3 separate regions of the Mus musculus genome follow, and all the other regions are reported to be linked to region 2. Evidence: microRNA targets listed by miRTarBase, many of them from high-throughput screens and not tested one by one. Region 2 holds a microRNA gene; each other region holds the end of a gene's coding sequence.
Evidence for each region. The annotated mature microRNA mmu-miR-223-3p reads UGUCAGUUUGUCAAAUACCCCA and lies in region 2 at 4,647-4,668, opposite strand. An mRNA with a match to its seed (bases 2 to 7 or 8) in the 3' UTR can be bound and repressed. Matches are read on the target gene's strand: a 7mer-m8 pairs with bases 2 to 8, a 7mer-A1 pairs with bases 2 to 7 and ends in A, and an 8mer does both.

Region 1 (10,445 bases), not on the chromosome of region 2:
GACAGCATGTGTGACAAGTCCTGGCACCTGTGTCATGCACTCCTGCACATACATGAGCTCTGGCCAGAGGTCTGTGTTCTCAGGCATCTTTTCTGCATGTACCATTTGGTGTTTATTACTTACTTATGGCAATGTTGGGACTGAACCCAGGGCCTCTCATATGCTGGCAAGTGCTCGGTCACTGAGTTGCACCCCTAATTCTTGTATTGCAATGAATAAATATAGGCATAACCTTTATAAGTAGAAAAAGGTGCATTTTGAAAACAGAGCGCTGCTGGCCGATCTCTAACTCTCTCTGCCTGCTTGTCTCCCTGGTGAATCAGCAGCTGGAGTCAGTTCTCCCACAGTGGAGTTCTGGGGTTGCCACTGGAGCTCTGGGGGTGGCACACAGAACAGCCTCAACACCCCCATCCAGGCGACTCACACCACCTCCGCATCCTCCACAGAGACGCACCAAGGTGGCGCACGCAAGGTGACAGGGAACATAGTGTTCGAATCTTTATTTGTAGACAGATCATAGCTCAACAAGAGGCACAGGGACTCCAGTGACTGAGGGCAGGGCAGGGCAGGGCAGGGATAGCCGCTCCTGGCTGGCCACCCTGAAGGCTATGTTCTCATGATTCCCTTGTTCACCCTGCACAGGCATCTCTGGAAAGAGCCAGATTCTTTTCGCTTTGGTCTTTACCACCAGGTACCTGGACCTCTTCTCGAACTTCATCTCCATCTACAACACAGTGATGAAGGTAAACGCATGGGGATCCCTGGTGTGCTGGCAAGTTGAGGCCAGGGCTGGAGCTGGCTCGCCTGCCTTGCTGCCCACGGCCTTTCAGGAACGGGTCTCTGTACTTTTTGCTCAGGACCACCATGGTACTTGTACTTCACTCAGAGAGGTGGCTGGGAGATTCATCAAGGTCACAGGTTTAAGTGTGAGGCAAGTAACATGCATGATACACTCATGTCTTCTCAGCACTGGAGAAGCAGAGAGGCAAGAGAATCGCTTCAAGTTCAAGGCCAACCTGGTTCCAGGGCTACACAGTGACACGGTGTCTCAAAAGACTCCCACTAACAACACACACACATAGACACACACACACACATGCACACACGCACGCACGCACAGTGACATAAACACTGGCGCCCTACCATGGACTGAATATTTCCTAATAATTAACGATCACACAGAATGGTTAAACAATAAACAAATCAGATGTTTTTTTCCTGGACCCTGGGCATTTAGTGAACTGCATTGGCCATACACCTGTGCAATGTGTGTCCTGCTCTGCTGTGCCCGGCACTTGGAGACATTCAAGACTCATGGATCCTATACCTTCAGGGCAGAACATCATAAGCAAATGAGTATATTAGTCATGGAATGGCTAAGCCAAATCCTAAAATCTTACTTTAATCCCAGCACTGTGAGGCAGAGGCAGGTGGATCTCTGAGTTTGAGGCCAACCTGGTCTACAGATTGAGTTCCAGGACAGCTAAGGCTACACAGAGAAATTCAGTCTCAACCAACCTCCCCTCATGCCCCGCCCCCCAAAAATATTTCAAGAGATGATACAGCACATCAAAAGTCTCAGAGACATCCTTTGGGGTTCCAGGTAGCTCATCAGTGGAAGAGGTAAGAGGATGTTGTCTCCTGCGAAGCAGCTGTACACAGTGTGAATCTATTATTATCTATTTATTTCATGTATGTGAATATACTGTCGCTGTCTTCAGACATACCAGAAGAGGGCATCGGATCCCATTACAGATGGTTGTGAGCCACCATGTGGATGCTGGAAATTGAACTCAGGACCTCTAGAAGAGCAGCACTCAGTGCTCTTAACCACTGATCCATCTCTCCAGCCCCCAGTCAGTGCTCTTAACCTCTGAGCCACCTCTCCAGACCATTGGCTGGGGTGGGGGTGGGAGAGTCTTAAAATCACCATTAGAATTACAGGAGGCTGGCCCATTTACCTGCTTAGTTCATTTCTCTGCAGACCCAGCCTTGCTGTGACTGGATGAGATGTTGTCTGTAATGGAATAGAAATGTGGTCGTCACTCCTTGTGTTCCCTCTGTCACTAATCTGTGCTGAGTAAGGACTCACAGGAGGGTCCTGCCCATGAATCCTCTTGTGACAGAGACAGACTGACAGATCTTCACAGAGCATGTGACACCATGCTACAGGGTGTGGTGACAGCATTCGTCTCTCATCCTAGTGAAGTGTGAGTGAGCTCTCTGTGCCAGTGTAGTTTAGTGCCACCCAACAGTATTGGCACAGCCTGGGAAGTTGTTAGAAAAGCAAATTCCAAGGCTGCCCAGACCTACCAAAAAAATAAAACAAAACAAAACAAAACAACAAAAAACCCCCCAAAAACAAACAAACAAAAAAACCCTTGGGATGGCATCAGAGAAGCTACTCATGTGACTCTAATGCAAACCTCCAACTCGTGACTCTAGGGGCCCCAGAAACATCATGCATACACGCACACACGCACACAAGCATGCACACTTCCTCACACATGCACACGTGTGCACACACACAGAGGCAGGGTGGCCTGTTGGGGACAATAGCATGATAGCCCTTAGAATTACAGATATGGTCTAGTACGAGTGTTAAATGATGTCATAGACGTCCGTGTCTCCCTAGGTGGTTTTCCTCCTCTGTGCCTATGTCACAGTGTACATGATCTATTGGAAGTTCCGGAAAACGTTTGACATTGAAAATGACACATTCCGGCTGGAGTTCCTCCTGGTCCCCGTGACTGGCCTTTCCTTTCTGGTGAACTACAGTTACACGCCGATGGAGGTGGGTCTTAGTCCCAAGGCAGGACTGCCTCCCAGCACCCTTTTCGGCCATCTGGGCATTTCTACCATGAGCCTTTGCTCACCGTTCACAGCACTCACCTCCACCCCACCGTGAAGGGGCTCATCTAGTCATAGTCCTGAAGTTCCCAAAGGCTCCAAGTTAAACAGGTGGTAACCCTCCTCCAGTTGACACCTTGTGTCCCCAAGAGTACCAAGGCTGAGTCAGCAGCGGGCCTGAGCTTTGAAAGGCTATCATCTCTGGAGGTTCTATGCCGATATTTATTGGCTGTTCCTTGTCACCTTATCTTAAATGTCACTTACACACTATGCAGTCTGTCAAAACTATGTTTCATGGACAAATTTGCACTGTTGTGAAACAAGCAGGCATTACATACCTGAGTTTGTATTTCTGTAAGTGATGGACAGGTTTAACTACTAAAGTTCAGGGCTGGGGACACTATGGGCAGAGTGCCCTCTGGCCTTTTTTTCTATTCCCAACAGCAAAAAGCCATAAATACAAGTTCTTAAACCTATTGTGGCAAAACATTCTGGGGTCTTATTCCTTCCTAGGGAGATAAGTTTGCTCAAAGCAACATTGGTACCCTGTAAAATGATTGTGTGTCAAACTATTCTCTTCAGCAAACGTTCACTACATGAGTCCTCTAAAGCAAAGGACTTCCAGCCTTTCTATTGTTGTTCTGACAGGTCCTCTGGACCTTCTCCATCTATCTGGAGTCAGTGGCTATCCTGCCACAGCTCTTCATGATCAGCAAGACCGGAGAGGCTGAGACCATCACCACTCACTACCTGTTCTTCCTGGGGCTCTATCGGCTCCTCTATCTGGCCAACTGGATCAGGCGGTACCAGACAGAGAACTTCTATGACCAGATCTCAGTAGTGTCTGGAGTTGTTCAAACCATCTTTTACTGTGACTTCTTCTACTTGTATGTGACCAAAGGTAGGCACTGGTCCTGTGTCACGGTGCTTGCTTGCTTTCTCTCTCTTTCTTTCAAGACAGGGTTTCTCTGTATAGCCCTGGCTGTCCTGGAACTCAGAAATCTGCCTGCCTCTGCCTCCTGAGTGCTGGTCACTGTGCACTCTTATGTCTGGTACTTGTATAAGTTTGAATAGGTTTAGCCTCCGTAAACATACCTGTTTGAATGTTTGGCCCACAGGTAGTGACACTATTAGGCATGTCCTTTATAGAATAGGTATGCCCTTGTTGGAGGAAATGTAGCACTGTGTAGAGCCAGGCGTTGAAGGCTGGGGCAGGTATCTACTGAAGGCAACATATGCTTTGAATCAGTGTCTGATACACGGTAGAGTTTCTCCTATAACTAGGATCCATGGGTCCAGGAATCAAGGGGTGGAGAAGGGAGTAGTTCCATTTAGTAACCCACTAGGAAAATGTTTGCTTCCTGTTTTCGATTGGCCTACAAGTTTTGATTCCAGAGGGAGGAGTGCTCCTGCCAGGAGAAAGCCGTTTCATGTGTTTGTCCGGGAGTTTTGAACACTAGGAGTCCTCCAAGGCCTCCCAACAGTGTCACTCCCTGAGGGCCAGACTTACTCCAACTGGTCTGAGGCAGAGCCAAGGTTCATCCCTCTGGAGCTTATTTGGATCTGGGGAGGCACAGACCAATAGCAATCAGCAACGTGCACAGACAGGAAAACTGAGGACTTCTGACAAACTTGGTTGGGAAAACCTCAATCTCCAAAAGCCCCGAAGCAGCTGTTAGCAGTAGTAGACCTTGAAACGCAAGGAAACTAAGTTCACACAGAACCCCAGGGATCTAGGTTATGGGGTTTGTTATTGTGTCACCATGCCCAGCAGCCACCATGCAGAGACTAATCAGGGCAGTTTAAAAACAGGGTTGGGATGGATAGACACAGGCTATGGGAATGGAGTAGACATACTCATCTAAAATGATGTAAGAACACCAGTAACCAAAGTGGGGGGAAACAGCATAAACCCCACGGGTGACCCGCAACAAGTAACAAGGGAGGCAAAGGCAGGCGATCTCCAGTTCAAGGCCAGCTAAAGTGGAGGGAGGGGGGCAGGAATTCTTCTTTAAGTACAACACATAGTAAAATTTTATCTTTTTTTCCTTAGTCCTTAAAGGAAAGAAATTAAGCCTCCCGGTGCCAGTTTGAAGAGAAGGGCCACCCCTATGGCAGCTAAAGCAAACCATCCGGATCACTGCTTCATGACTTCAAGCCAAGACTTGGGACTTCATGTTAGAGTGACTGGTGTGAATTTGAGCAAAGCACCATCTTGGGATAAACGGCAGCACCTCCCTAATCCACCATGGATAGAATGGGATACCTAGCCCATCTGCCCAAGGATGGTGCCCTACAAGTGCCAAGTGAAGAGAAGCAGTAGATACCTCCGTGAGTGGCTCAACTCCTTGCTTCCTTAGGACTATACAACTCATGCCCAGGGCTGGGAAGATCCATTCAGAGAACCTCCCTAGGTCAGCGTGCTGAACTCGAGCCACATGTCCACCTGGCCTGCAAGCTGTAAGCAGTCCAAATAACCAGCTCTGCCAAGTGCTTAGGACTGCTTAGCTCACTTGTTAGCTGAGATGGACACCATGGCCACTGTGTAAATCCATTCTGTGCTAAGAACCACCAATGTAGCCTTCCCCTCCCAGCCTGAGGTGCTAAATAGAATGCCTAATACACTCACCCTGCTTAATGTTTTCACTGCTTGGAGGAAAACATTAAGAGTACACTTAAACTCTTTTTAAGTTTTAATGTAATAAAAAATTCACACCTTTATTGTCAAGTATTTATTTATACCTACAAAAGAAAACAAGATGGTATCAAAAGGACAATTTACAAACTAAGAATAGTAGTAACATAGCTCTGAGCATCCTGTGCATAACATCACACCTACAATTCAAGTCTCAATGACAGGAATGTGTGGAGAGACCAGCAAGGGCGTTAGCAGAGCACTGATCCCAAGCAAAAGCCACCAACCTTTTTAGATGAGAAGTCTGCACAATGGATGGTTAGGGAGAAGCAGCCCACAGCCTAACACCTAAGCCCTTTCCCTAAGTGAGTAAACCATAAACGGCAATTAACCCAGCTGGAAGGGTTTGCCTGCACCTGTGCTGACAAAGGACAGACAAGGAGGCACAAGTCACTTGCGCCAAGTAGGAAAACTGCTAGTTTTCTGCTGTACCCAGGCCAAAAGAGCTTATGAAATATGACATCTGCTACTTATCTGGATTATGCCTCTGCTGGAGAGGGGAGGTTAAGCAACCTAGCTACTGCTTCATCCCCGGAGGCAGTAATAGAAGGGGTGTTTTTGAAGAGTGACAGGAGCACAGGACAGCCCATGGTATAATGCTTAATAAAAAATAAATCTGAATTTGGTTGTAGAAAGTATCTGTAACAGGCTGGTCAGCATCAGTGATTAGACACTTGCTTTTGGCAGGGTGAGAGACAGACAAGACAGGACACACTTTGGTTTCAGAGCACAGAGCAGGGTTGCCACACATCTGTGCCTACCATCCCCCCTCAGCTTCATAGTCTGTAAAACGGTAAGGAAAACAGAAGAATGCCAAGCATGCTGACAACCTACCTGTTATGTTACACACTGAATCCTATTTTCTGAGCCCCTCAAAACCATCCCTTTCTCTTCCTGAAAGAAACCTCAAAATTGACTGTTACCGTACAAAGGAGCAGGCACCCTCAGGGCACAGCCAAAGAATGCAGTGGAGCCTCCTCCCTGGAATGAATTTGAGCGGCCCAGGTAACAGCCACACACTAGCCCCACCACTACCATCTACTAGAGGCGCTGGGGCATCTGCTCTCCTGTCCTGTTTAGGTGATAAGAGCAGAATTTTCTTTCCAACTTCATCTGCTGCTCTTCCAAGTTCCAGGAGCATTTAATAAAGGGGTGAGACGAGCTCACCCCTACCTTCACACTCCAGAGAGTAAGGAGAGCCTGGGCTTCAGCCCTCCATGGCTACTACCTACCTGTGAAAAACTGAGGGCAAAGGAAAGCCCAGAACAAGTGCCTCCAGCTGTTAGAAAGCACCTCAGAGACCAGGCTTTGAGGAGGCAAGCTCTTTAGCAGTCCTGCTCAGGAGAGCCTGACCAAGTGGGCAGAGCAGCCCATGAGGTCAATCCTACTCTAAGAATACTGTTTAAGAGGAAGATCCGCCCACTCCCTTGCAGTCCATCATTCCCAAAGGTGCTTTCTAAATGCTGCTCGGAAGGCTCTGCTGAGCGCTGATGCTTACCGCTCAGTGGCTGATCTGGCTAGAAAATGACTTTCAGATGGCCCCTGGTTATGTGGGGATAAAAATCCCAGGCAGCCTCTACCCAGATGCCAGTCTACCTAGTAAAAACAACCCTTTATAGTTTTTTAAACTTAAAAAGACAACGCTTGAACTCAGAAATGTAATTTCTAACTCAACACTAACCTGGTTAATATTTAATAACTGCAGGAACAAGTGGGGAGGGGGCATGATGACAGAATCGATTAGGAATTTTTAACTGTTGAATGCACATAAGAAGCCATCAGCCAAATGACCAACAAAGCAGTCTTAAAAATTCATCAGGCCTGAGTAATCGAACTTCAGTAACTTAAACCCACCATGGGCAGTGTGCATGGAAATCCCTCTTGGCTCCTCCCTAAGGAGAGCAGTCTAAAGAACAGATACCACTTCCTGCAGAGCAGTCCCTCCTTCCCTACCCACCCTCCCATGGATAAACAGGCTCCAACAAAAGTGCCTAATACCTTTAAGATGAAAAATAGCTCAATATCCTCAACATGCATTAAGCTGGGGGAAAGAAATTAATTCTTTCCAGTCAGTTATGTGTATATATATTTTTTCTTACAAAATCTGTAATTATAGACTGGATCTTTTGGGTGGGCAGAAGAAACCTGGCAGTGAAATTTTAACTATCTGCATTAAAAAAAGATAAACCGTAATGGTTGAGAAAAGAAAAAATAAAAATGAAAAGGTCTAGAAGGGTAAAAGACAGTGTTCCTTTAGATGTGTAATTCATCTGCACGAGTCACTCCTGCCATGCAGTTTCATTTGCGAGATGGAGGAGGGGGAGGGGGAGGGGGAGGGTACTGGTAAGCAGTCTGCCCCATGTAGCCTATCATATTGGTAGCTCCTGGAGGCTGTGCAAACTGCTGTGACATCAGTGGCTGTGGCTGCTGCCCAGATCGGCCTATCCCACTAAACTGCTGGCTGGAGCTCTGAGAGCTCCTCCCTGCTGAGGCAGTGCTGCTCGCCCCGTAAGTGCCAGCAGCATACTCCTGCGCCGTGTAGCCACTGGTGCCATAGGCAGCTGCCCCATAGGTGCCTTGAGCATAGGTGTATTGGCCTGCTTGTGCCCCAAAGGCAGAATTTGGGCTTCCATAGCCACTGCCATTAGCATAACTGGCTCTATCGGTTTCACTACGATCCCTGTAGCTTGTAGAATCTCTCCGGCCACCATCCTTGACCCCTCGAAGCCTCCGGTCACACTCGTCCTGATACATCAGATTGGGATTGTTGGCTGAAGAAGTAGTCCGGTATCGTGAGCGGCCTCCTAGTGGGAAGAAAATGCCGAGTATGTGATCCCAACAAACTGAACATAAAGGGGCACAGAAATACTCAACACATGTTCTTCATCTGTAACGCTAGTCTCTAAGTTAATACTTCACTCAACTTGGTGCCTTTTAGAGTCTTCTTGATAACAAAACCAAACTTAACCTGAGTGTACCACACAGCTGTAGATCAACTGTATGCCTCGGTTAATACTATGCTATGAAATGAGGTAAAATTACCAAATTCTCCAAAGGTATCAAGAAGGAAAAACAGTTTAGCTATCTATGTTAAAATTTTAAGAGACAGGGTCTAGCTATGAAGCTCAAGCTGTCCCAAAAAGATAACATACCTAGCTTTACCTCCATGTGTTAAGAAACATAGGCTTGGGGCTGGAGAAATGGCTCAGTAAAGCACTGACTGAGCTGACTGACTCTAGAGGGCCTGAGTTCAATTCCCAACCATCTGTAATGGGATCCAATGTCCTCTTCTGGCATGCAAGTAGATACTCATATACATAAAACAAGCAAATAAATAAAAGAAACAAACCCGCCAGGCGGTGGTGGTGCGTGCCTTTAATCTCAGCACTCAGGAGACAGAGGCGGGCGGATCTCTGAATTCGAGGCCAGTCTGGTCTACAAAGTGAGTTCCAGGACAGCCAGGGCTATACAGAAAAACCCTGTCTTGAAAAAACAAAACCCAAGCTTGGCTGGACAGCGACAGCTTTGTTAGGTTGATTTCTGAGTTTGAGAACAGCCTGGTCTACAAAGTGAGCTCCAGAACAGCCAGGGCTACACAGAGAAACCCTGTCTTAAAGAATAAAAACCAAACTAAAAGATTCACAGGCATGTACTACTAGTTTAATTTTGGACATGTACCATGTAACCCCAAATTTAAATAAATAATGGGTCTTAAATCCTCAACTACAAGAACACTGGGTTCTAACAGTAACACAATGACCAGACTTACTTTTTCACTTAAAATGAGATTATTCAAAGCCACAAATTTCTTTCCAACTCCAAACAAGAGCCTTGTCATCCAAACAAAACAAACAAAAAGGAAAACTAAAAACTCACCAACAAAGAAAAACCAGCAGAAAAAAATGGCACAATTAGTGTTACAAGTCCTTGGCAGTACCTGGAAAATTCCAGGACTTACCCTTACCCCCTCCTCCGCCGCCACCTCTGTGGTCCACAAGCTGCATCAATTTTGGATTGATGGCTTGATTGGCCTCTTCCAATACTTTGATCAGCTCTCTAGCCTGCTTCAGGTTGCCCGGGGTAAAGAAAGTATAGGCAGTGCCCTTGTTGGTGCTGCGGGCCGTTCGGCCAATACGGTGAACATAATCCTCTGAGCTGTTTGGATAATCGTAGTTGATGACAAACTTGACATCTTCCACATCTTCCACGTCAATGAGGAGACATTGTGTAGGTTGATGTGGCAGAGAAAGAGAAGGTAAAGACATGCCAAGAGGTGGAGAGCACGAATGCAGATGACAGCAAGAGGGGAGAAGATGAAGTTAGTAACTGCCCTGAGTAGGTACAAAAAAAAGACTCATCCCAACAGAGTAAAAGAGGATCAGTGCCACTCAGGACACAGGCAGGCCCTGCATCTTGGTTTGTGATTACCCTATGGGAGCTCCCTCCAATACCCCAAACTCCTGCCTCTTCTGTAATGATATGCTGACAGGAGCTACACTGAGACCAGAGTTCAGAATGACAAAATCTAGTGCCACCCCCTTTCGAAGCTAGAATGTAGAAGAACTTAGTAACCACCATTAAAGTGCAGGGCCAAATCACTTTTACTCTGTTGGGAGAAGCCTGGCACAGTCTACCAACAATACAACCAACTTACCTTCAGACCAGTCACAGAGCAGCACGGAAAGGCACTTCATCTACTCACTACATCCTCAGACTCAACAGTTAGATTCTGTCTTGCTCTTGTATTTAAAAAGCAAACCAAAGCCAAAATACACACCTATTTTGCTTTGTGTAAACACCCAGATTACCTTTCCCTTTTCAATCACAAGAACACATTACACTAAAATTTCACTCTACTGCCAAGCCCAGCTTCTCAAATGAGGTTTTTTTCCACTCAACT
Region 2 (10,445 bases):
TATCTAGTCTGCCAATTCTGGGGCCATTGAGAAATCCTGGGTTTGGCTAAGAATATACTACATGCACCTCAAGAAATCTAGCTTCTGGGCTTCACCCAGAACAATTTTCTTCCTAGGGCCTTCACAACTCTTCTCCAAACAGCAGAGAAATTCCATAGCAGTAGAGGTTCTTTATCATGCCTCCAGACAGCGTGAGTCTCAGTCCTACAAACTCAGACAAGCACATGGGTCTAGGATTACTCCTCTTTCTCTAGGGCCAGATGACTTTTAATTGATATTACTATTGCTACATTATGAATCTAATGCACATGTATTCTTTTGTTGTTAATAAATGTTTAATCATGACATCAACTTCAGTTGTGTTGGTCTTCTCTCAATACAATAGGACCTATCCGAAATTATTAAAATGAGACCTATCCGAAATTATTAAAATGAGACTAAAATGCTAAGGACCCCTAGGAATATAGATCACGCACTTTGCTGTGCTCTCTCTCTCTCTCTCTCTCTCTCTCTCTCTCTCTCTCTCTCTCTCTCTGTGTGTGTGTGTGTGTGTGTGTGTGTGTGTGTTACAGGAATTTTTTTATTTTTATTAGATATTTTCTTTATATACATTTCAAATGCTATCCTGAAAGTTCCCTATACCCTCCCTCCGCCCTGCTCCCCTACCCACCCACGCCCACTTCTTGGCCCTGGCATTCCCCTGTACTGGGGCATATAAAGCTTGCAAGACCAAGGGGCCTCTCATCCAACTAGGCCATCCTCTGCTACACATGTAGCTATTGTTGTTGTGTATATTGTTGTTCCACCTATAGGGTTGCAGACCCCTTCAGCTCCTTGGGTGCTTTCTCTAGCTTCTCCATTGGGGACCCTATGTTCCATCTTTTTTTTTCCATTTTTATTAGGTATTTAGCTCATTTACATTTCCAATGCTATACCAAAAGTCCCCCATACCCACCCACCCCCACTCCCCTACCCACCCACTCCCCCTTTTTGGCCCTGGCGTTCCCCTGTACTGGGGCATATAAAGTTTGCGTGTCCAATGGGCCTCACTTTCCCTATGTTCCATCTTATAGATGACTGTGAGCATCCACTTCATTTTACAGAAAATTTAACCCAGGGTTAACCAACAATTTTCCCACTGAACTAAAATATTGTACTATTTTTACTTCTTATCTTTTTTTTTGTGGTACTTTTTTTCTTTTTTTTTCTTTTTTTTTATTACGTATTTTCTTCAATTACATTTCCAATGCTATCCCAAAAGCCCCACACCACACTCCCCTACCCACCCATTCCCATTTTTTGGCCCTGGCATTCCCCTGTACTGGGGCATATAACGTTTGCCTGACCAATGGGCCTCTCTTTCCAGTGATGGCCGACTAGGTCACCTTTTGATACATATGCAGCTAGAGTCAAGAGCTCTGGGGTACTGGTTAGTTCATAATGTTGTTCCTCCAGATCTCTTTAGCTCCTTGGATACTTTCTCTAGCTCCTCCATTGGGGACCCTGTGATCCATCCAATAGTTGACTGTGAGCATCCTCTTCTGTGTTTGCTAGGCCCCGGCCTAGTCTCACAAGGGACAGCTATATCACCGTCCTTGCAACAAAGGCTTGCTAGTGTATGCAATGGTGTCATCGCTTGGAGGCTAATTATGGGATGGATCCCTCGATATGGCAGTCTCTAGATGGACCATCCTTTTGTCTCAGCTCCAAACTTTGTCTCTGTAACTCCTTCCATGGGTGATTGTTTCCAATTCTAAGAAGGAGCAAAGTGTCCACACTTTGGTCTTTGTTCTTCTTCAGTTTCATATGTTTTACATATTGTACCTTATATCTCGCTATACTATTTACTTCTTATCTTGATGATATCATACTAACCTAGCCAGGCTTGCCTTTATTTCACTCTCTAAATTAGGTAGGCTTTGAACTTGCCACCTGCCTTAGTCTCCCAAGTAATTGGAATGATAGGCCTGTAACTCTAATCCAAGCTTTGGTTTTTGTTGTCTGTTTGTTTCTTGGTTTGTCTTTCACCTTCCAACTCATGCCACCTCCCTTCTCATAATATGGATAGCCCTATCTAAAGCAAATCAATTTTTGCTTAAATAGTATTCTACATAACATCCACTACCCAGTCCATCTTTCTATCTTCTCTACTTTGTGACTCTTCTCGGGGCAACAGGAAGATTGTCAAGAAGCCTCACATCTTTATCAACGTACTATGAATGTACAAATAAAGTAGTTTCTGTCTTTTCAAAGTCTGTGTATAATATCACTAAAATATCTGGACTAGTTGCATTGGTCATCTTTTCTCCTCAATTCTTTTTATAATGTGAAGAGACTTTTTTAAAATTTTATTAATATAGGTTGGTTTATTTGAGAAAGTGGTAAGATGGGTTTCAATGTTTTTTAAAGCTTTATGCATATAAATGGGAAGAGTAAGAGATTATTTCTTAATTGATGGAACGGGGTGGGGGGAATGAAGAAAAGTGTAGGGAACAGGAGGGTAGGGGAAAGGAAAGAAGGAACTCTATGTACTTTGGAATGAAACTCCCTTGTAAAGAAATTGTTTGGGGCCACGTTTGCATTGCTTCCTTTCCCCCCATTTATTTCATGTCGAATCAACTTCCTAAATTTTCATGGGAACTACCATGTTGCCTATGTAGTCTGCATATGCACAGGATCAGATCAGGTTTCAACAAGAGGTACTCCCACTTTGAAATGACTGCAAAAGTCAAAATAGTACACAAAAGTGATTGACAGTCTGCCCTATTTTACCCCCACTGATGCTGCCAAGTCTATGACCAAAATCTCAGCATTTTCTTCTTTGACAAATGCTAGCTATGCATAATTAGTGTCAGAGATGACTTCTTCTTCTCCATCTCACTTACCAGCCTCCACAACCTGGGTACCACCCAGTAGAAACCTCAGCTTCCTTCATGAAACATCTGTGAGTCCAGCCCTGAAAGCCTTGAAAACACCCTTTATCTCATTCTGCTCTTTAGAATTAATCCCTGGGCTTGAAGAGAGAATGTTTATTGAAATTGCCCTAGTAAAGTGAGCCACAAATTCAGGGAACCCCCAACACTGGAACCACCAGGAATGTCTCCTATTCTTGCATGTGAAAATGTTTACAGATTACTTATCTGAACATTCACATACCACAAATTGGGAAGTGAAGCCCAGAGAGAAATGAAGGTTTGTCAAAAGTAACATACATCAAGTCAATGGCAGAACAAAGACTGGAGGTTAGACCTGTGGATTTTTAGCAGTGTGTGTACTTTGCTGCAGACATCTTCTGAAGATGGTCTTTGTCCCTAAACAATGGTATTTTTCCATGCAGGGTAAGCCAGTAAGTCATCCCTAGATAGAGATGCATCCCTCCGACAATTCTGAGCAAAATTGGGGTAACAATATGGGTCTTGTTATTTAGGTCACTGGTTAGTGGGTGAAAAGTTAAAGAATGAAAGTAGGTATCTCCAGAACCAAGGGAGAGTATGGAATTTCTCCAGAACCAAGGGAGAGTATGGAATTTCTCTAAAGAAGCTTGCCAAAATATATGTTATGAAATGTTAGACTCTGGAGAGAGGGATTGGAGATGCTTCATTTTATAGTTCTATATTAGAAGTTCACCCCAGTGCAATGATAGAATATTAAAGGCTCAGAAAATTCTGTTTAAAAAGACACGTGTAAACCAATAATTCAAAAAATTTTTCCCTCTGAGTCTATTCTTTCTTCTTGCCCTCCTGCCCCAGACCTAAATCTTATTTCTCAGAGGAAAAAAAAATCCATTTTGGTTACCATCTTGTATACACTATAGCATTAGAATACCCACAGTTTGATTTATTTTTTTCGCAAAACCCTGGTTGGTATTTGACCTATATAGCAAAAGGTTATTGACTAGTAAAACATCAATTAATTGGTAAATATTTATTAATAATTAAAATGTTGGACAATGGTATGAGAGACAGCAATCAACTGAATATAATAAGCTCTAGATTCTTACAATATAATAGGGAATTCAAGAACATACCCTGGAAAAATTCACTGACAACTTTAGAAGATGTGTTGGATGGTAGGACATATAATAGCACATACCAGTATGTGGTTAGCCAAGGAGTAAAGAAAAGTATAGGTTAACTTTCAATAGTGCCAAGAGGAATTGGAATTTGGTAGTGTCTGAAAGCCCAATGAAGATAAACAAGAAGGTTCTTTTAAGAATGATAAAAGCAAAGTGGAAAAGAGAAAATGTAGGTAGCTTAAGATGTGCTCCGAAGGCCAGACAGTGGATATTTATTTCCTACTTTCTCATAGAATTCATGATGCTTGTATGAAAATTCTGCTATTCTGGCTGCAAGAAGAGGAAAGTGAAAGAAGACATTAATAATAAATCAAATAATACTCTCATTCCCTGTATCCCTCATGTACCACTATGCAGTCCATGGCATTTTCACAATGTACACAGATGCATACCAGACTTGTAGACCCCAGAGCTGCATCGTTCCTACTCTGATGTTCTCTGAATAAATGTTATAGTTCCCTTAAAGACATAGAATAACACCAGAGAGCTTCATGTTTCATAAGCATTCATATGTAGGCAGCAGGCTATGTGCTCTGTCCTGGACCTGGAGCTGATAGGCATGAGCCACACTTGGGGTATTTGACAAACTGACACTCTACCACACAGAGTGTCCAACTCAGCTTGTCAAATACACGGAGCGTGACACTGCAGATGGCCAGATCAGGAACCTCCACTGGGCAGCAAGAACATGCTGGAAGATGTGCAACTGGAAAGAGAAAAAAATAGGGTGATTATATCTTACCCTAAGTGTGAGACAAATGGCAGACACTAACATGACTGACTAAGACACACCAAAAGAGGGAAGTGAACAAAACACGCTAATGCTCCAAACAAAAACGGGGATCCTGGGTGTTTGTCTGGAGATTCTGGTGGCCCAAGCCTCAATTAACTCTTCTATTCAGCTGAAACAGGAAAAAATTGTCATCATTCTGTCCTCGGGGACAATTTATGTGTTCCTTCCTCCTATCAACTTCTTGTATGCTCTGTTTACCCTGGTTATGTACCTAGATGTTGATTTTTAAAACTGGATTTGAATTCTACCTCTACCATTAACTAGCTGAACACCTTAAATAAATGAGTTTATGTCCCTGAAACCTACTTCTTCCATAGCCACAAAAATGCCCATGAAATCATGGCAAGAATATGTAATAATGCATATAAAGCCATTAATTTAGTGTTTGTTACCTAACAAATACTCAAAAATTGTGGCTATAGCCAGGTATGATAGTACATGTGTGCATACAAGCTTTCATAGACAGAGATAGGAGAACCTCAGATTTAAAGTCAATTTGGGCTATATAATACTACCCTTTCTCAAACAAAAAAGTAAACAATCAAGATCTAGAGATAAAACTCAGTAGCAGAACACTTACCTAACTTGTACAATACTCTGTATTTGATCCCCTGTACATAAATAAAAGTGACTAAAATGTGCTTTAAAATTAAACATATAAGATAGATACTAACAGGGGAAAAGATAGATAATTTATTTAACAGAATTGAAACAGTAATTTCTTGTGGCCTTAGCCGGCTTTGTCTAACTTGGTTGCCTTTTCTCATAAGCAGTAAAGAATTAATGATATTAAAATGCCCTTATAAGTCATCTAGTTTTACCCATTCAAGATTATAAATGAGAAAATGAAGTCTGATGTTTAGGGAAAGACTTCCAAAAGGTCATAAAACAAGTTGTTTACAGTTTGGGAATTATATCATCCATCAGCTCATTGTGTCCCTTGGCTGTCCACCCCACCACTTTTTCTTGTCTGCTTTTTATATTCCCTTGCAAAAGGGAGAGCAACAGCAACAAAGAGCAAAACAGGCAGTGGATTTTGCAGGGAAGTATTAAGATGTTTGAACTCATAGCTACCAGGGCAGCTGCCAGAAGAGCCAAGCCATCTCAATTTATTTGATATTTTGTTTAGCATCATGATCCTGTTATTCAAAATGCTTGATAGTATCAAATTTTGTCCTACCCAGGTTTAAAGTTTTCTTGGGCATCAATTGTCTTCTCTAGAAATAGAGACAGAAATCTTACATCTCAAGGTCTTGAAAAATGTTGGATGAGACTTCTAGAGCTTTTTAGAAGGGAGCTTAAAGAGACCTTATTTCCAACTCTGGAGCTAGTAAAAGCCAAGGAAAGTGATTAAAAGAGAAAGGAGTAATGGGTTATTGGTTTTGGTTTTCTTGACAGCATCTCTGCTTATCATCTGCTGTAAGGAGAGCTAGACACTTTAGAGATATCCATAGCCTCTCAATTGCCCTATCCGACCTCACATAACCCAAGAACACTGGAAAAGAGCCATGAAAGGGGCTAAAGAGTTCTAGTGCACTGACTTAATAGATTATTATAAATACTGTTTTCCAGGATTGATGGAGAAGTCAGTCCTTAAGCTGGGTAAGGGACTATTTCATTTTCATTCTTGATGTTCCAGTTCACACCTATTCAGAGGAATACATATAAGAGAAGCAAGTTTAGTTGATTAAAGTTAGTCAGACCCATAAGAATGAAGACATAGATGACTACATAGTCAGTCTTCATGACGCAAATTGAAAGGCATAAGCTTGGTAAAAGAGGTATAAGATTTTACCAAAAATCTATAAATGTCCAGAATAAGCCACATATCAGAAAATATATTTGGTGATAAAGAAGTACTCAGGACCATGTCTTAATATCCAGATTTTTTTCAATATAAGGAGAGTCACCTGCCTCAGTTGCAGGATACCCATTATTTCTTGGTATCTCAGTCCTCCTAAAGCAGAAGAAAAAGGACACTGTCCTGGGCTTAGACTGAGTTGTAGTACAGGTTTTCTGTGTGGCCTTGGGAAACTACCTTTTCTTCTCTCAGGACCTCTGTTCCTCACATATATATTTGTCCTCACGTCTATGTGCCTTTTAAATTCTGAAATTGGAGTAGTGACTTACAAAACTAGAAAAAAAAGAACCTTTCATGTTTTAGTCATACCTTTCAGACCACCAGCAGTTTTCTAAAGGATGTTCAGCTCTGCCTAGAGGTGTACATTCAAGCAGCAGTCTCATCTTCTTTCCCAACCAAAGACTGGTAACCTTCAAAATAAGAGACATAGAGGCTAAGACATTAAATAGCATCTCACCTTTGTCTTTCTCTTCTCTGCAAAAGGGACTCAAACACTGAGTGCTAGACTATAGAAACAACTCACCCAAAGAAAAGTAACAGATATAGAACAAAATTTAAAATGCTATTTAGAACTCCTAACTCCTGGCTCTGATAAGCATTTAACTTCTACATGACTATCTTCTAAAAGCCATCATTTGTTAGAAATTTTTGTGTCCCTTCTCTCTATCACATGGATAGAAAGTGAATAGAAACCTTCATCAGTCTTATCTTTGACCCTTTATCAGTAACTGGGATCTGAGAGTCAGTTAGGCATATCCAGAACACTGAAAGCTGTTGTGGGCACTGTTTCAGCATGGGAATCTAAGAGAACAAGTAGATACTATACCTGTCATTGAAGTGGTGCCTTTGTCTTGGATGGGATATAGGTGCTGAGCCGAACTATAGAGGCCACAGAAAGCTGAGTTTTATGTTGTGAGCAGGAAGGTCACATGTTCTGAAGGACTCTTGGTGTCATGAAGAGGAAACAGAAATGAGGAAGATAAAGTTGAGGCTAACCAACGGAAATCTGGGTACAAAATGACAAAACAGAGCTATTGTGAAAGGAGTAGTTGCTAATGCAGCAATAGCCCCTACTGCTCTGTCTCCACCCATTCTCAACCAACCTCCAAAAACACTGACTTCCCATGCTACAGAGTGGGAAAGCAGGAAGTACAAGTTTCCTTTGTGTTCTGCCTATGAAGCAAGGAAGTTTCCCTAGAGCAATTGAGGGAATCTTTAAATATCAGAGCTATTTATCTAATGAAAATCTATTGTCAAAATGTAAAAATGGAAGCAAATTTGTGGCAAATCTGAAATTTGATACCACACAATTTCCACCAAGCCTGTGTTAATCTTATTTTGTTAACATGCACTTTTACTTCTTTCCTGAAATAAAGAATCAGCTACATAATCGTCAAGGCCTAGCACAAACTAAATGTAATATATTCACTCTCACCCCCTTTTAAAAACAAGCTAGTTCTCTTTGGGGTATGACTGTTCTTCCCATGATTCTAGATCCCAACCTATAGAAAAGTTTTAAAAGAGTAATGAATAGACAATGTAGAAGTTTTTGGTTTTTTATCTCCAGAAATGGGAGTTCCTATTTGCCTTATCTTTGTAACAGCACCTTTGTGGAAGTAAATACCAGGTCACAGCTGGGTGGGACCCAATGTATCCCTGAATACATCACAAAGGGCAATTCTCTTGAGAAGCCAGCACCTACCAGGTCTTCTTGAAGACCATATAATTTAGGATGTATCCACTATGGAAGTAAGTGAGCTCTCAACATCAGGGCTAAACCTCTCAACACTACCTGGAATGTCTCCCAGTATATAGCTTGATCTGAAGGTATAGGCTATGCCAGTGCCTGGCAAATACAGAAGTGGATGCTCATAGTCATCTATTGGATGGAACACAGGGCCCCCAATGAAGGAGCTAGAGAAAATACCCAAGGAGCTAAAGGGGTCTACAACCCTACAGGAGGAACAACAATATGAACTAACCAGTACCCCCCCCCCAAGAGCTTGTGTCTCTTGTTGCATATGTAGCAGTAGATGGCCATAGTAGGCCATCAATGGGGAGAGGCCTTTGATCTTGCAAAGATTATATGCCCCAGTACAGGGGAATGCCAGGGCTAGGAAGTAGGAGTGGATGGGTTGGGGAGCAGGGCAGGGGGTGGGGGGCGGGTATAGGGAAATTTTGGAGAGGAAACTAGGAAAGGGGATAGCATTTGAAATGTAAGTGAAGAAAATATCTAATAAAAAAAAGAAATGTTGATAGTGTATTGTTCCCTTTCTGTGAGGCTCAGAGACTCTGCATTCTCACTCTGAATACCACACTACAAGAGGAACAAACCACATTCTAAGTCATTGTAGTGAATATGCTGGTAAGTCTCTGACACACACTGTAACTAAAACTGCTTGTCTAAGCAAACAACACCAGGAACTAATGGTGAAGACAGAATTTTCATTCAATTATTGCTCTAGATGTTAGGATGATTTAAATTTATTTTATTAACTGCACAAAAAGGAAAAAGGGTAACTAAAATAGAAGATAATTATATATCCTTAAGTCAATGTGACCTTCAAGATGAGAAAGGGAACTAAAGAATTTGGGAAGAGAGTGAGGTAGTTGTATGCTAAATCTTCGTGTTCATAATCCCTGGGAAGTCTTCATTCACAACCAGAAAGATGATGGATTCTTATTCGGGCCCTTCAACCTTGGATTCTAACAACATGGAGGATAAAAGATGGTAGCAGGTCCTGTGATGTTTTCAGGTTCTACTTGAAATAAGTTTAAATATTTGCAGAGGTTGAATTATAACCTTCAACCTAAACTAGTGGCAATAAGGCCTTGGGTAATATTCGAGCTTTTGTAAATAATCTGTTCATGACATATAAAGTTTTGTAAATTTGAATTCAAGCAAAAAGAGCCCATCCTAAGAGTTGGGGCTGTAAGAACTTAGCCTCAATTCTGTTTTTTTCTCTAAACAGATGAGGTTGGAGTCATTGTGCTTAACCTCTCCAACTCCAACATTCATTATTAATGACTATATCCCTGATTCTCTTTACTTATTGTGTACTCTCTTGTGATTACAGTCCCTAAGATTCTGAGGATAGTCTATAATAAGGATCCATTCACATTAACACTGTTTTGCAAATAACTCCCTTCCATCAAAATAATTTATCAGTTTAGGCCCTGAGACTAATGTCTCCAGATTTGGGTTCAAGAATTATTTGACTCCCATTTCTTTGGGGTTTTTGACTAAGTATTGGATTAGAAGGAAAGCAATCAAGCAGTTTTCTAAGCAGGGACTATGTTCTCTCAACTAACTCTGAGAAAAGAAAGTTCAGCCACCCATTCCTTTTATATGCCCACAGTTAAAATATTCTAGTGGCTAGTCTGTCTTTATATTTTTTAATGTTGGGGATTAATGTCCTGGCTTATCACATGCTTTAAAAATGCTCAAACTGTTTGAGCTATATTCCCAGACATCTCTACTGATTTTTAAAAAAAAATCTTCTGGAGACATTGGATCTACTAAAGGAATAATTAACGTTGTCCATTTTCAGTACTATAGAAGGTCCAGGAAAGATACTACTAGGAAACAGGTAGATTAAAAACTAAAAGTCATCTGTGACAAGAATATAAATTAGGACAAAGGGTACTGAAGGCCTGAGAGTTCCTCTTATTCCACAAACACCAAACATGTTGGTAAGAGCCAAACTTGCAACAAC
Region 3 (10,445 bases), not on the chromosome of region 2:
TAAAAGCACCACAGAACACAAATGTGTAAACACACAATTTAAAACAAAACAAAACAAAAAAAGGGGCAGGCATTTAAGAGGTGGAGGCATATGGATCAGAAGTTTCTGGGGTACAAGATCCTGTCTCAGAACAAAGACTGCAAGTTCCTGTTGTTTCCTTGGAACAGGGCAGAGCACACCTTGTCCACCACGACACTCTTCAGGCACAAAGGTCAATGCAGTCCTGGGCTCTCCCAGAGCTCTGTGCTCAGACCTTGGCCTGCCTGTCTCCAGCTTCTCTCCATACATAAATTGATTGACATCTCAAAGATGACAAGTTTGCCACTCTTGTCTTTGCCTTATTTCTAGTCCTGGAGTTTGAGGACCCCTCTACTACAAAGACTAGACCGTGTGCCACCCACTCTTGTCTCCTGAGAGCCACTCCAGCCGCTGTGGTTCTGAGGACTTGTGTTTGGGGAAGCCCTTCTATTTCTGCCTCTGCCTCAGCTGATCTACTGGAAGCCACTTGGCTCCCTCATGATAGTGCATCCCGACTGACAGCCAGAGGCCTGTTTTGTGCCTTTTTCTTTTTGCATGTGTTTGTGATGTGCACACTTGGAAGCTGGCTGGTGTCAGGTGTTTCCTGAATATCTGCTTAATTTGCTAAGGCAGTCTCTTCCGAAATCCAGGGCTCACTGCTGCTTGTTTTAAGTTAGTCATCTTGATTCAGGGATCTCCTGCCTGCTTCCCAGATTCGGATTCCAGGCAGCTGCGGCATCTGACCTGCTCTTACGTGGGTTTTAGGAAACCCAACTGTAGTCCTCGTGCTGTGTGGACAACACTTTACCTCCTGAGCCATATTCCCAGCCTCCCTTTGAACTCTGGATTCTCATGGTTCAGGGTAGCATCCTCTTCTTTCCTTGAATTTGTGACCATCTGGTCTTCCAAACTCCTCATGAACTGCAAAGGACCAGACAACCCCACAAAGCATTAGGTTCTGGGAAGCCCAGCCCTTCAACTGATTGGCCATGTTGTCCCTCTTCTGTCCTCCCTGCAGTCACTGCAGCACGCTGCTCACCATTTTCACCCCAGGGGACTTGCCTGTATCTAACAGCCAGGCCTCATCCCCTGACAAATGTGTCTGGGGTGCATCTCCACAGGCTTCATGCTATAGCACGCTAAGGGAGCCTTCGTGGTCAAACTCTCATAAGTGGTCTGCTGTGGGCTGGGAAGATGACACAGTCAGTAAAGTGCTTGCTATGCAAGCAAGAGGATGAGTCCAGACCACTGTCACACATGTAAAGAGCCAAGTGTGGCAGCGTATGTTCATAACCCTAGTGGTGAGGAAGCAGAAATAGATCACTGGGTCAGAGTAAGTCTAGCTGAGTCAGTAAACCCTAGGCTCAATGAAAAACTGTGTCTCAAAATAAAGTGGAGAGGGGAATGGAAAGATGGCTCCGAGATCCCAGGTTCGATTCCCAGCACCCACATCAGGTAGGCAGCTCACACGGTTCCAGTGTCTTCTGGCCTCCATGAGAACTGCACATGCGTGATGCACAGACATATGCAAAAGAGACATACACGGATACGCCCATACACATAAAACAAAGTGGAATAAAATGGCCAGCGGGTTGGCTCAGCAGGGGAAGCACTTGCTGATGTGTGATGTCCTGCATCCTATCTGCAGACCCACAATGAAAGAAGATTCCAAAAGGCTGTGCTTTGACCTCCACACATGTGCACACGGCTGCCCCTCCAGAATAATAACTAATAAAACATTAAGAGAAACATGTAGGGCTGTCAAAACACCACCTCAAACTCTTGGCCTGTGCGCGCACGCGTGCACACACAACACACACAACTTCACCTGTGTTCCACCACCTGTATTACTCTGAAACATCCACATACATCACCTAGTGAAGTGTTTGTGGTGCTGAGAAGGGATCCCAGGGCCACAGGCACACCATACAGTACACACTGAGCTACAGCCCCAGCCCCAGAAACAGAACTGAGTTAACCTTGTTCCTGAGTGTAATGACCCAGTCGTCATCCCCCTGTACTGCCCAGTGCACAGCTCAGAGATAATGACTGTAGTAAAGCAGGGAAGTAAACATGTGTCCTGAAACCTCTCTACTTTTCCCCTCAAGGAACATGCCTTTGAGAGCAGTCAGAAATACAAGGAAGGAAAATTTATTATTGAACTTGCCCACATGATCAAAGACAACGGCTGGTAAAGTGAAGCGGTCCACTCCTGTTTGAATCCTATTTTATGAAAGCTGAGTGTACAGAAGACCTAGCTTCTTGGTGACAATGCTTCTTGAACTTAACCTCACAGGCCAGCCCAGTCTCAACACTTGAAGGTGTCTCTCTAGGCTATCCACTTGGTAAGGTGCCCATTTGAATCCCTGTCGTGTACAATGCGTTTTTGGAAGTCTGAGTTCTTTTTCTAACATCTTAAGTTCTAGAGAAAGAATTGACCAGCTGGTGACTCACCTGCCTAGTGAATACTTTCTTTTACCCTACGCCTGCAATGCCTGGCTGTGTTCTCACCAAGCCCAAGTCCCTAAAAGCAGAGAAGCAAGGTCTCCTCACAAGCAAAGGCATAGTTACCAGAAGTAAAGCATGTCTCCAAAAACTGAAACCAGCCACTGGTAACATGGAAGAGAAGCTAGGAAGCAAGCATTCAGTGTACATCTTAAGCAAATAGGGAGGTTCCTGATGTAGAAGGCGAGTGACTTACTGGTGGCTGAACGCTCTGTCCCAGGGCTACCCAAGTCTGCCACTGAGCTGACTCCCTTGGTGCTGCGGCAGCACAGCGGCTCAGAATGTAGGGCTGGTCCCTGCCACAGAGCAACAGGCTGGGTTTCACTTTATACCCTGGATGTACTTGAAATAGTTATGCATACAGAGGCCAGAGCCAGTACGGGAAACTGCAAAACATGAGAGTTTTCCAAGGTAAAGGAAGAGTTAGCTTAGTATGGGAGCTACCTTTTCTGCCTGGAATCACCTCATGACCTGACAAGGGAGGATCTGGGCCATCCCCCAAGCCCAGGCTCTCAGATTTTAAGTCACAACACATCATACTCTATAAGGAGTGGCCAATTTGCAGAGAGGATGGAGGCCAGAACCATTCCCAGATAAGTTTCATTGTTTTGTACCCTCCCCAGGGCAGAAGGGCAGGCAGTAGGCCTGTGAAGGCTGAGAGCCCTTGAGCTGCAAAGGCAGCATTACAGGAAAGCGCTTAGCACCGGCTGCTCTAGAGCTGCCTGGGTGTGGTAGTCAAAAAGCAGTTTCTATCTAGACCTTTGGGCTCCAGCCCCAGACCTGCTAAACCCACATCCTCTGGCCAGCACAGGCACTCGCTACTCCTCTTCACTTCAAAACCTACATTTTGGTGCCATTTCTTTGCCCAAGATTGGAAGGCTGGTAATACAGGAAATGCCTGCGCAATGCTGGTCCTAGCCCAAGCTGCTTTTTCCCCAGCTACTTCCAGTTTCCCTCTAGACTAAGGCTGGCAAAGCAAAGTGACTCTACCAGTAAGGTAAGTGCTGAAACTCAGCACAAGCAGCCGTGTGACCTTGGCAAGGCTCAGGGCCATCCTTATCTAGGAATGAACACTGGTCAACAGTCTGCTCAAACTGGACATGCCCGCCTGGCTAGTTTTTAATACTTTTCAGAGTGGGAACTTGGTGGCTGAGGCATGGGCGGCTTTCCCCAGTGGGAAGGCGGCAAGGGAGACAGACCCGAGTACGTCCTTATAGATGCCTCAGTAAAGCTGAAGAGTCTTGGAGAAGTCTTCTGTATATACTAAGATTATATTTAGACTTTATGCTCTGGGCATGCTATCTGCCCCTCAACTGAGCACTCTGTATTATCTTTTGTGAGAGCTCTGACTGGAACGTTTTTGCTAGTACTCTATATGACTTACCTGTATTGGGGAGTAATGGATATAAACAAACCATTTATCAAGGTTTTTTTGGATTTTGCGTTGGCCTTCTGTGAAATATAAACCAAAAGAACTGACCATGAGCTGGCTTCAGGGTAAGTGATGCAAGACCACAACCAGGCATGCTGGTAAACCACTGAATGTCTCACCTCCTTACATTTGTAAACAGCACCATTCTGTGACTATTTTAAAGAGGTTTCCTCAGAACAGTGGGAGGTGATACCAGGTCATGAACGCCACTTTGCTTTAGAAATGTGGTTTATTTCCTTGTTGTCTTGTTACTGTATACATAGTATTTTTATACCTTAATGCTTATTCTTGATGGCATCTGTCAGGTATTTGAAGAGATCAGAAATGAGATTTTTTTTCCCCTCAAAAGTCCTTTATTTTCTGATGAGCTCATCAGGCAGTTTTCAAAATCCAAGTGTCTTTACTGTCTAAAACACTACCATTTAAGCTATAGACAACCGACCCATGGAAATGCAAGCCCTGGTGGTCTGTCCTCTGTGCTGGAGGACAGGAGAGGACACAGCTGCCTGCCCTGGGGACAGGTGTCGGCTGCTGAGCAAGGCTGACTGCAGTGCTGTGGAACCCACAGGGAGTTCACCAAGAACAGCAGGACCAGCAAGCTCGAGCAAACAGAGCGCCTTGGCCTCCCTGTCTCCTAGCCAAAGCTGTCAGCCCTCTGTGGCGTGTCTGTGGGAGGTATAAAATAAAGCTCCTGTCGTCACACAGCAAGGTTCCCAGGGTGGGGGTGGAGGTGGGGGCGGCGGCGAGCCACGTTCGTTCCTGCAGCATCCACTAGGAGCAAAGGATCAGGGTCTCAGAGCCCGCTGAGAACCGAGGGCTTCTGGGGTCCTGATGCTTCTGACACCACCTTGTAGTAGCTTGTGAGTGGCCTGAGAAGAGTGTGAGAACACAGTTAGGCACCAGCAGCCTCTGTCCATGCAGGGCTCCCTGCTGCTGCTCTGCCCTGTTTAAATTTTTCTTTTTCTTTTTTTAAGACAAGGTCTCATAACCTGCCTCTTTTGTTTCTTGTTTTTACTTTAGAGGACAGGATCTTGCTGTGCGGCCTTAACGATCCTCCTGCCTCCACTGTATCTAGCCCCACATTGCCTATAGCCAGAGGAGTCAACAGAGGGGTATAGGAAGGCAGGCTGAAGGGCAATGCAGTCTGGCATGTGAATTGCCATCCCAGGCAGGTGGCTATAGTGTACCGGGCTGGGGAAGTGTCAAGAACAGCCATGGGTGAACAGCAGTCATCCCTGAGATCATGCAACAGCAGCTGGAAGTGGAGAGGGAGGGCAGTAGAGCAAGGCAGACTCCCAGAAATACAGAAGGCCTATGGTTTTAACATCAGAAATATAAACAGGTACTAGCTACACCCCAGAACCAAGAACTTCGGAGATTTTGTGGATTCAAGGTTTAGGGTAAAAGGTCAAGCCTAAGTTACAATGTAGTGTGGCATTCTCTAAGGACAGTGCTTAGTGACAGAGAACATAGTGACTGACACGACACTGCCCACACTTGAGAATCAGCTGTGGAAAGGTTCCCAGGGAGCAAAGCACTGTGACGAGCAGGTGGCTGTGAGTGATTTGGACACGTGGGCCCCCCGAGGCCTTTTCAGCTGATACCCTGACAACTGTCCTAGAATCAAAAGTCAAAAGCTAGGCATGGTGGTGACTGCCTTTAATCCTACTTGGGAAGGTAGAGGCAGGTGAATCTCAGAGTTCAAAGCCAACTTAGTCTTACATAGTAACTTCTAGGACAGCCAAGGGTAATGCAGACAGACTGTCTCAAAACATGAGTAGGTGACTGGTCAGGAGAAGTCAGAAGGAAGCCACCTCTTTGTAAGGACCTTTGGCTCTCATAAGAGCACATACTAACTGGGCTCAGCAGGTCACCATCACGGATGCAGAAAGGTAGGCGACAGAGTAGACAGGACAATAAACACGCTTGTCCCAAGCAAGGGAGTACAAGTGCTTTGTGGAAGTGGTGTCAAAGTAAGACCATAAGACCCCATCACAATAGCCTGGGAGTAGAAGCTCCTGCCTCACGATCCAGACTAGGTAGGGTCTGAGTGAGGACCATTTCCAATCTCCTTATCTAAATTTCTCTGAGATCGGCTCCCTATATAGCCAGGGTTGGTCTTGGTATTCTGAATGTTGGGACTACAGGAGCCCCTTGAAAATCTCCATTTTTAACAGGACACATAGGTGGCAGCACTGGCCAAGAAATGTGTTGAGTGTGCACACAGCCATCCTGAGGCAGAGACCACGGCACCAGATGAGGGTGGGGATGCCAGGAGTCCCAGGGGCTCAAACTGGACCCAGGTCTTAGGCAACAGGTTTATTGGCTCATAGCCCAAACTGATGGCAAGGGCAGAAAGCTCAGGGACAGCCCCAGAAGCCCACAGCCCTGCATCCCTACCAGGATCCCTGAGGCCAGCCTGCTGCTACCAGGAGCTGAAGTCCCCAAAGCCCCGACTGGGCCTTTTCTTGGCCGTGGGGGTGGCAGTGCTGGTCGATGGTTCTTCCTCTGCTGATCGTTTCCTGAGACGTGAAGAAAAATACTGCAGTTGCCACAAAAGAGCCAGGAGCCTATGCTTGCGAGTCCCTTGAGAAACTATCCACAGATAGCCTTCCCTTCAGAAGCCCCCCTCCACAGTGCTGCTCCCACACAGCCCAGCCAGTAAGGCATCCTTGCCTGCACCAGGCCTTATCAAGCCCCTCAGTCTTAGTCTCCAGTCTGGCCTGTGCTGCTCTTGCTGGCTTGGTAATCATGAAGCACTATGAGGCTACGGGAGATGCTGCCCATCAGTCACACTCACGTGGCCGCAGGGTGGATGTACTTGCCCACCCCCTGGCGGTATGTCTGGGGTCCCTGGTTTCCAGGCTGGGGCTGACTCATCTTGACCTTGGCCTCTGGATCCACCTGATGCTGTGTCTTCTTCCGTTCCTGGGCAATCTGGGAGGTAGCAAAATGTCTGATAAAGAACCCAAGGGCTGGCTCTTCTCACCCCCAGCTAGGAGGGAGGGCCAAGGCTGATACAGAGCCTCCAGTGTGCCCTCCTGCTCCTAACAAGGCCATGATTTGCTTGGCACCTTCCTTACCTGGGCATCAGCCTCCTCATAGGGGTCCACAAACACTGTGGTTGTACATATGAGCACTTCCTCCTGGTGGCAGAAAGCTCTGTGAGCAGGCAAGCAGACTTCCCCAAACAGCACCCAGTGGGCAGTTGTGCTTTGTTCTCCCTAGGCACATACCTTAGGACGGTCAGTTTTAGGGTCACTCTCCACATTCTCCATGGCTGTCAGCGTGTCAAAGCCCCCAACAACCCTGCAGCAGATTGACAGAGTTGACTGGGTACCAGAGTGCCCCGAGCAGAGAGAGGCATCACGGCAGAGCTGAGACATGCCATGAAGAGGACTGGCAGACAGTGCAGAGCCTCAGAAAGGTCAGTCCAGTCACCAGGCAGGACAGGATGCACCACAACACAGAAATGAGCAGCACACCACACCCAGCCAGGTTTGGTGACTAAAGTGTTCCTGGATGAGCCACAATCCGTGTTTCCATACTTCTTCCCCCCAGTTTGCTAAGGCAGGATCTTGTATGAACTATGGCTGCCTGGGTGTCTCCTCCTCTTGGCCCCACAGGCCAGGAGAGCCAACCTTCCCCTATAGAAATACCCAGTCCTCAGTGGTGGTTGGAGGGATAATAGCCATGTCTGGGGAAAGGCAGTGAAGGCCCACACTGCAATCCAAATATTTACAGCATCTACTCTTACCGTCCAAAGATGGTATGCTTCTTATCCAGGTAAGCGCAGGATCGGAATGTGATGAAGCTGGGGAAAGTACAGGGAGATGAGGAAGCAGCAGGCTGTCCCAATAGTGTGCTCTAGGCTAGTAATGACTGCTCCTCAATAGAAGCCCTGCCCAGCTTGGAGCTTCCTTGAACCCGTGTATGCTGCCCACTGCCTGTCTCTGCTAAGGCTACAGAGGTAAATCCAGACCTCTGGCTCTCCGGAGAAAGCCGGAGTTTGGTTGCCAGACCTCCCTTGGAAGGCAAGCAGGAGAGGCAGGTGGCTTGAACATAGTCATTAGACTCTTTGGAGGAAGGAAATGGAGTGACTCAAGCCCATCATGAGCCCTGCCAGAGGCAGAGGACTGAGTCAGGCTTCCAGGGTGTCTGGAAGAAGCTCTAGACTACAGTCTGTAAACAGGGGAGAGCAAAAGGCTGGACAGCATGAGACAAAGGTGGGAGCACCTGCAATCCTAGCAGGAGGCTGAGCTCGGCCCAGCCTGAGCTACAAGACCTCTCTGAATAAATCAAAAGGAAAGCAGGAAGTATGATATCCCTACCCAGAGCGGCAAGAGGACAGTCCTACAGGGCCAACAGGACAGCAGCCTTCCCCTGATAGCCACATCTAGTGAGGCTCAGAAGGCTGAGTCTACAAGCTGCAATGAGCATGCCTCACCCAGCAAACAGGGGCATTTCTGAGGCCACCAAGCACACACTGTGTACACTTGGTCTCATTTGACTGTACTGCCCTTAACCTCACTATGGAACCAAGGATGCCAGAGCTGACTGTTGCCATCACCTCACAGGTGTGTGCCACACACTCCCATTTCTGCCTGACCTACCTAGAGAGGACTTTGGTGCCTATCTTTAAGTACTATCTGCAGCTCGGAATGCTATTCAACCCGCTGACCTGGGCTCCTTTATTGAAGGGACCTAGGCTTCATCTAGGTTACTTTGATTGGATTTAACTTAGGCTGAGCACAACTTTTAGGGAGACCTCTTAGGTCCTTTGGATATCACCCCCAGCAGCTGAGTAAAAAGAGCTGGACATGGACTCACAACTGAGATTTGTTGGTGTTGGGCCCCGAATTGGCCATGCTGAGCACCCCACGGCCCGTGTGTGAAAGGTTGGGACGGAACTCATCTTTGAAAGGCTTGCCCCAGAATGACTCTCCACCTAGAACAGAGAGAAGCACTGTCAGTGGTCAGCCACAAAGCCTAGTAGAGAAGCATCAGGGAGCCGTGTCCTTGAGGCAGCCTCCCTGATTACTTCTAGATGCCAGAGCCTTCTATACAAGCTGACACTGCTTTCTCACCTGTGGGCCAGGGCTGAAGGCTTAAGCTACAAGGCATCATTCTAACACATGGGTCCAAGTCATAGTTGGCCCATGGAGTTGGAGGCTTGGGGAAGATTGCTGTGCTCTGCAGGAGCAATGGGGGCACCTTCTTGCATGACAGGAATGCATGGCCAGACCTCCTGAGAGTGAACAAGTGGTTTCTGAGAACTTCACCTCCCTGTCTTGTTATGGTAGGACCCTGAGGATTAGGAAAGAGGCCCTGATACTGTGGAAAAAGTAAGGGGCATGCACAAGGTAGGCCACAAGGCCAGCCACTGAATGGCCAGCCACCCCCAAGTTTGAAAGATTATATACCCAGAACTTAAAACCCAGCTCCCTACCAGGCCCCACAGAACAATCACATTTATTATTCCAACAGAACAAGGCTGGCACCAGCACCTACCTGTGCCTGTACCTGTGGGGTCACCGCCCTGGATCTGCAAAAATAAAACCCAGTGAGGCCATTGGCTCTGATGATGCTGATCACCCCACACACCCTGCCGACTAACTGGACAGGCTTCCCACAGGCATGTGCTGCAATAAGGACAGGGACCTCCTCTCTGACCCCAGCTAGGTCTTCCTGGATGAGCACTGAAGGGCCAGCTATAAGATCCCTGGCACAAGATACACCTGAAGACCCTACCCTGGCCACACATGGCCTGGAACGAGGTATCTGGAACCGGGAAGGTATGAGCCTGTTTGTTTCCTGGATGTTCCCCATGTCATCAAGCATCTATGGCCACATCAACCTATACCACTCACCACAAAGTTCCTGATGGACCTGTGAAAGATGGTACCATCATAATACTGTTTCTTGCAGAGCTTGATGAAGTTTTCACAGGTTTTTGGTGTCTACAAAATATCCCAGCAGTATGAGGCATAGTTAATAGCAGAGGCATAAGACATGCAGACCTTTATCATAGCAGAAAGTTCTGTAGGCTTTGGTTCAGTCTGACTTCTAAGAGTTAAGCTAAGCTACAGAGTCCTACAGCCATATGACACATGGGGAAACAGAGTCAGGGCTCTATCCTAGGATTTGCACATAGATACACTTACCAAGCAGCTAAGGAGGTATGTTGCTAAAGGGACTCCAGGGAAGGAAGTCAGGGCCCTTTTGAGTCTCAGGGGCAGTCAGGTAAGGCTTCTTATAAGTAAACCAACCGTAGCTCCACATTTAAGGCAGGACTAGCCTGTGGCCCCAGGAACCACCTGGTGACAGCCATCACACTCACCAGGTCACAGTGCAGCTCTAAGTTAAGGTCGCCCTTGTTGGTGTGAAGCCTTACATAGCCCTTTTTCTTCACAAACTGGTAGCGCAGTACATCTTCATCAATGACAGCTGCAAACAAGTCCTGAGCTCTGCACTTGCCCTGCACCCGAGA

Region 1: miRTarBase lists Ddx17 as a target of mmu-miR-223-3p. Seed matches in the 3' UTR shown: 7mer-m8 at 7,614-7,620.
Region 3: miRTarBase lists Ypel1 as a target of mmu-miR-223-3p. Seed matches in the 3' UTR shown: 7mer-m8 at 3,997-4,003.

Annotation. Positions count from the first base shown.
Region 1 is chr15:79,522,169-79,532,613 of GRCm38, forward strand. It overlaps Ddx17 (DEAD box helicase 17), which reads right to left. Exons shown (of 13, transcript NM_001040187.1): 12 at 9,510-9,746; 13 at 5,528-8,349. The coding sequence ends at 7,844. It overlaps Kdelr3 (KDEL (Lys-Asp-Glu-Leu) endoplasmic reticulum protein retention receptor 3), which reads left to right. Exons shown (of 5, transcript NM_134090.2): 2 at 643-743; 3 at 2,636-2,794; 4 at 3,499-3,751; 5 at 4,904-5,571. The coding sequence ends at 4,944. Among named protein-coding and RNA genes, the nearest start is that of Kdelr3, 11 kb to the left of the region's middle.
Region 2 is chrX:96,237,107-96,247,551 of GRCm38, reverse strand. Mir223 (microRNA 223) reads right to left here and starts at 4,735; the gene lies at 4,626-4,735. It overlaps F630028O10Rik (RIKEN cDNA F630028O10 gene), which reads right to left and starts at 7,626. Exons shown (of 3, transcript NR_030718.1): 1 at 7,556-7,626; 2 at 7,039-7,139; 3 at 3,910-6,514. Vsig4 (V-set and immunoglobulin domain containing 4) reads left to right here. Exons shown (of 7, transcript NM_177789.5): 7 at 1-351.
Region 3 is chr16:17,082,390-17,092,834 of GRCm38, forward strand. Ypel1 (yippee like 1) reads left to right here. Exons shown (of 5, transcript NM_023249.6): 5 at 2,127-4,347. The coding sequence ends at 2,213. Ppil2 (peptidylprolyl isomerase (cyclophilin)-like 2) reads right to left here. Exons shown (of 21, transcript NM_001252444.1): 12 at 10,296-10,402; 13 at 9,826-9,915; 14 at 9,467-9,500; 15 at 8,786-8,903; 16 at 7,713-7,769; 17 at 7,192-7,264; 18 at 7,039-7,101; 19 at 6,756-6,892; 20 at 6,356-6,477; 21 at 4,166-4,824. The coding sequence ends at 6,381. Among named protein-coding and RNA genes, the nearest start is that of Ypel1, 17 kb to the left of the region's middle.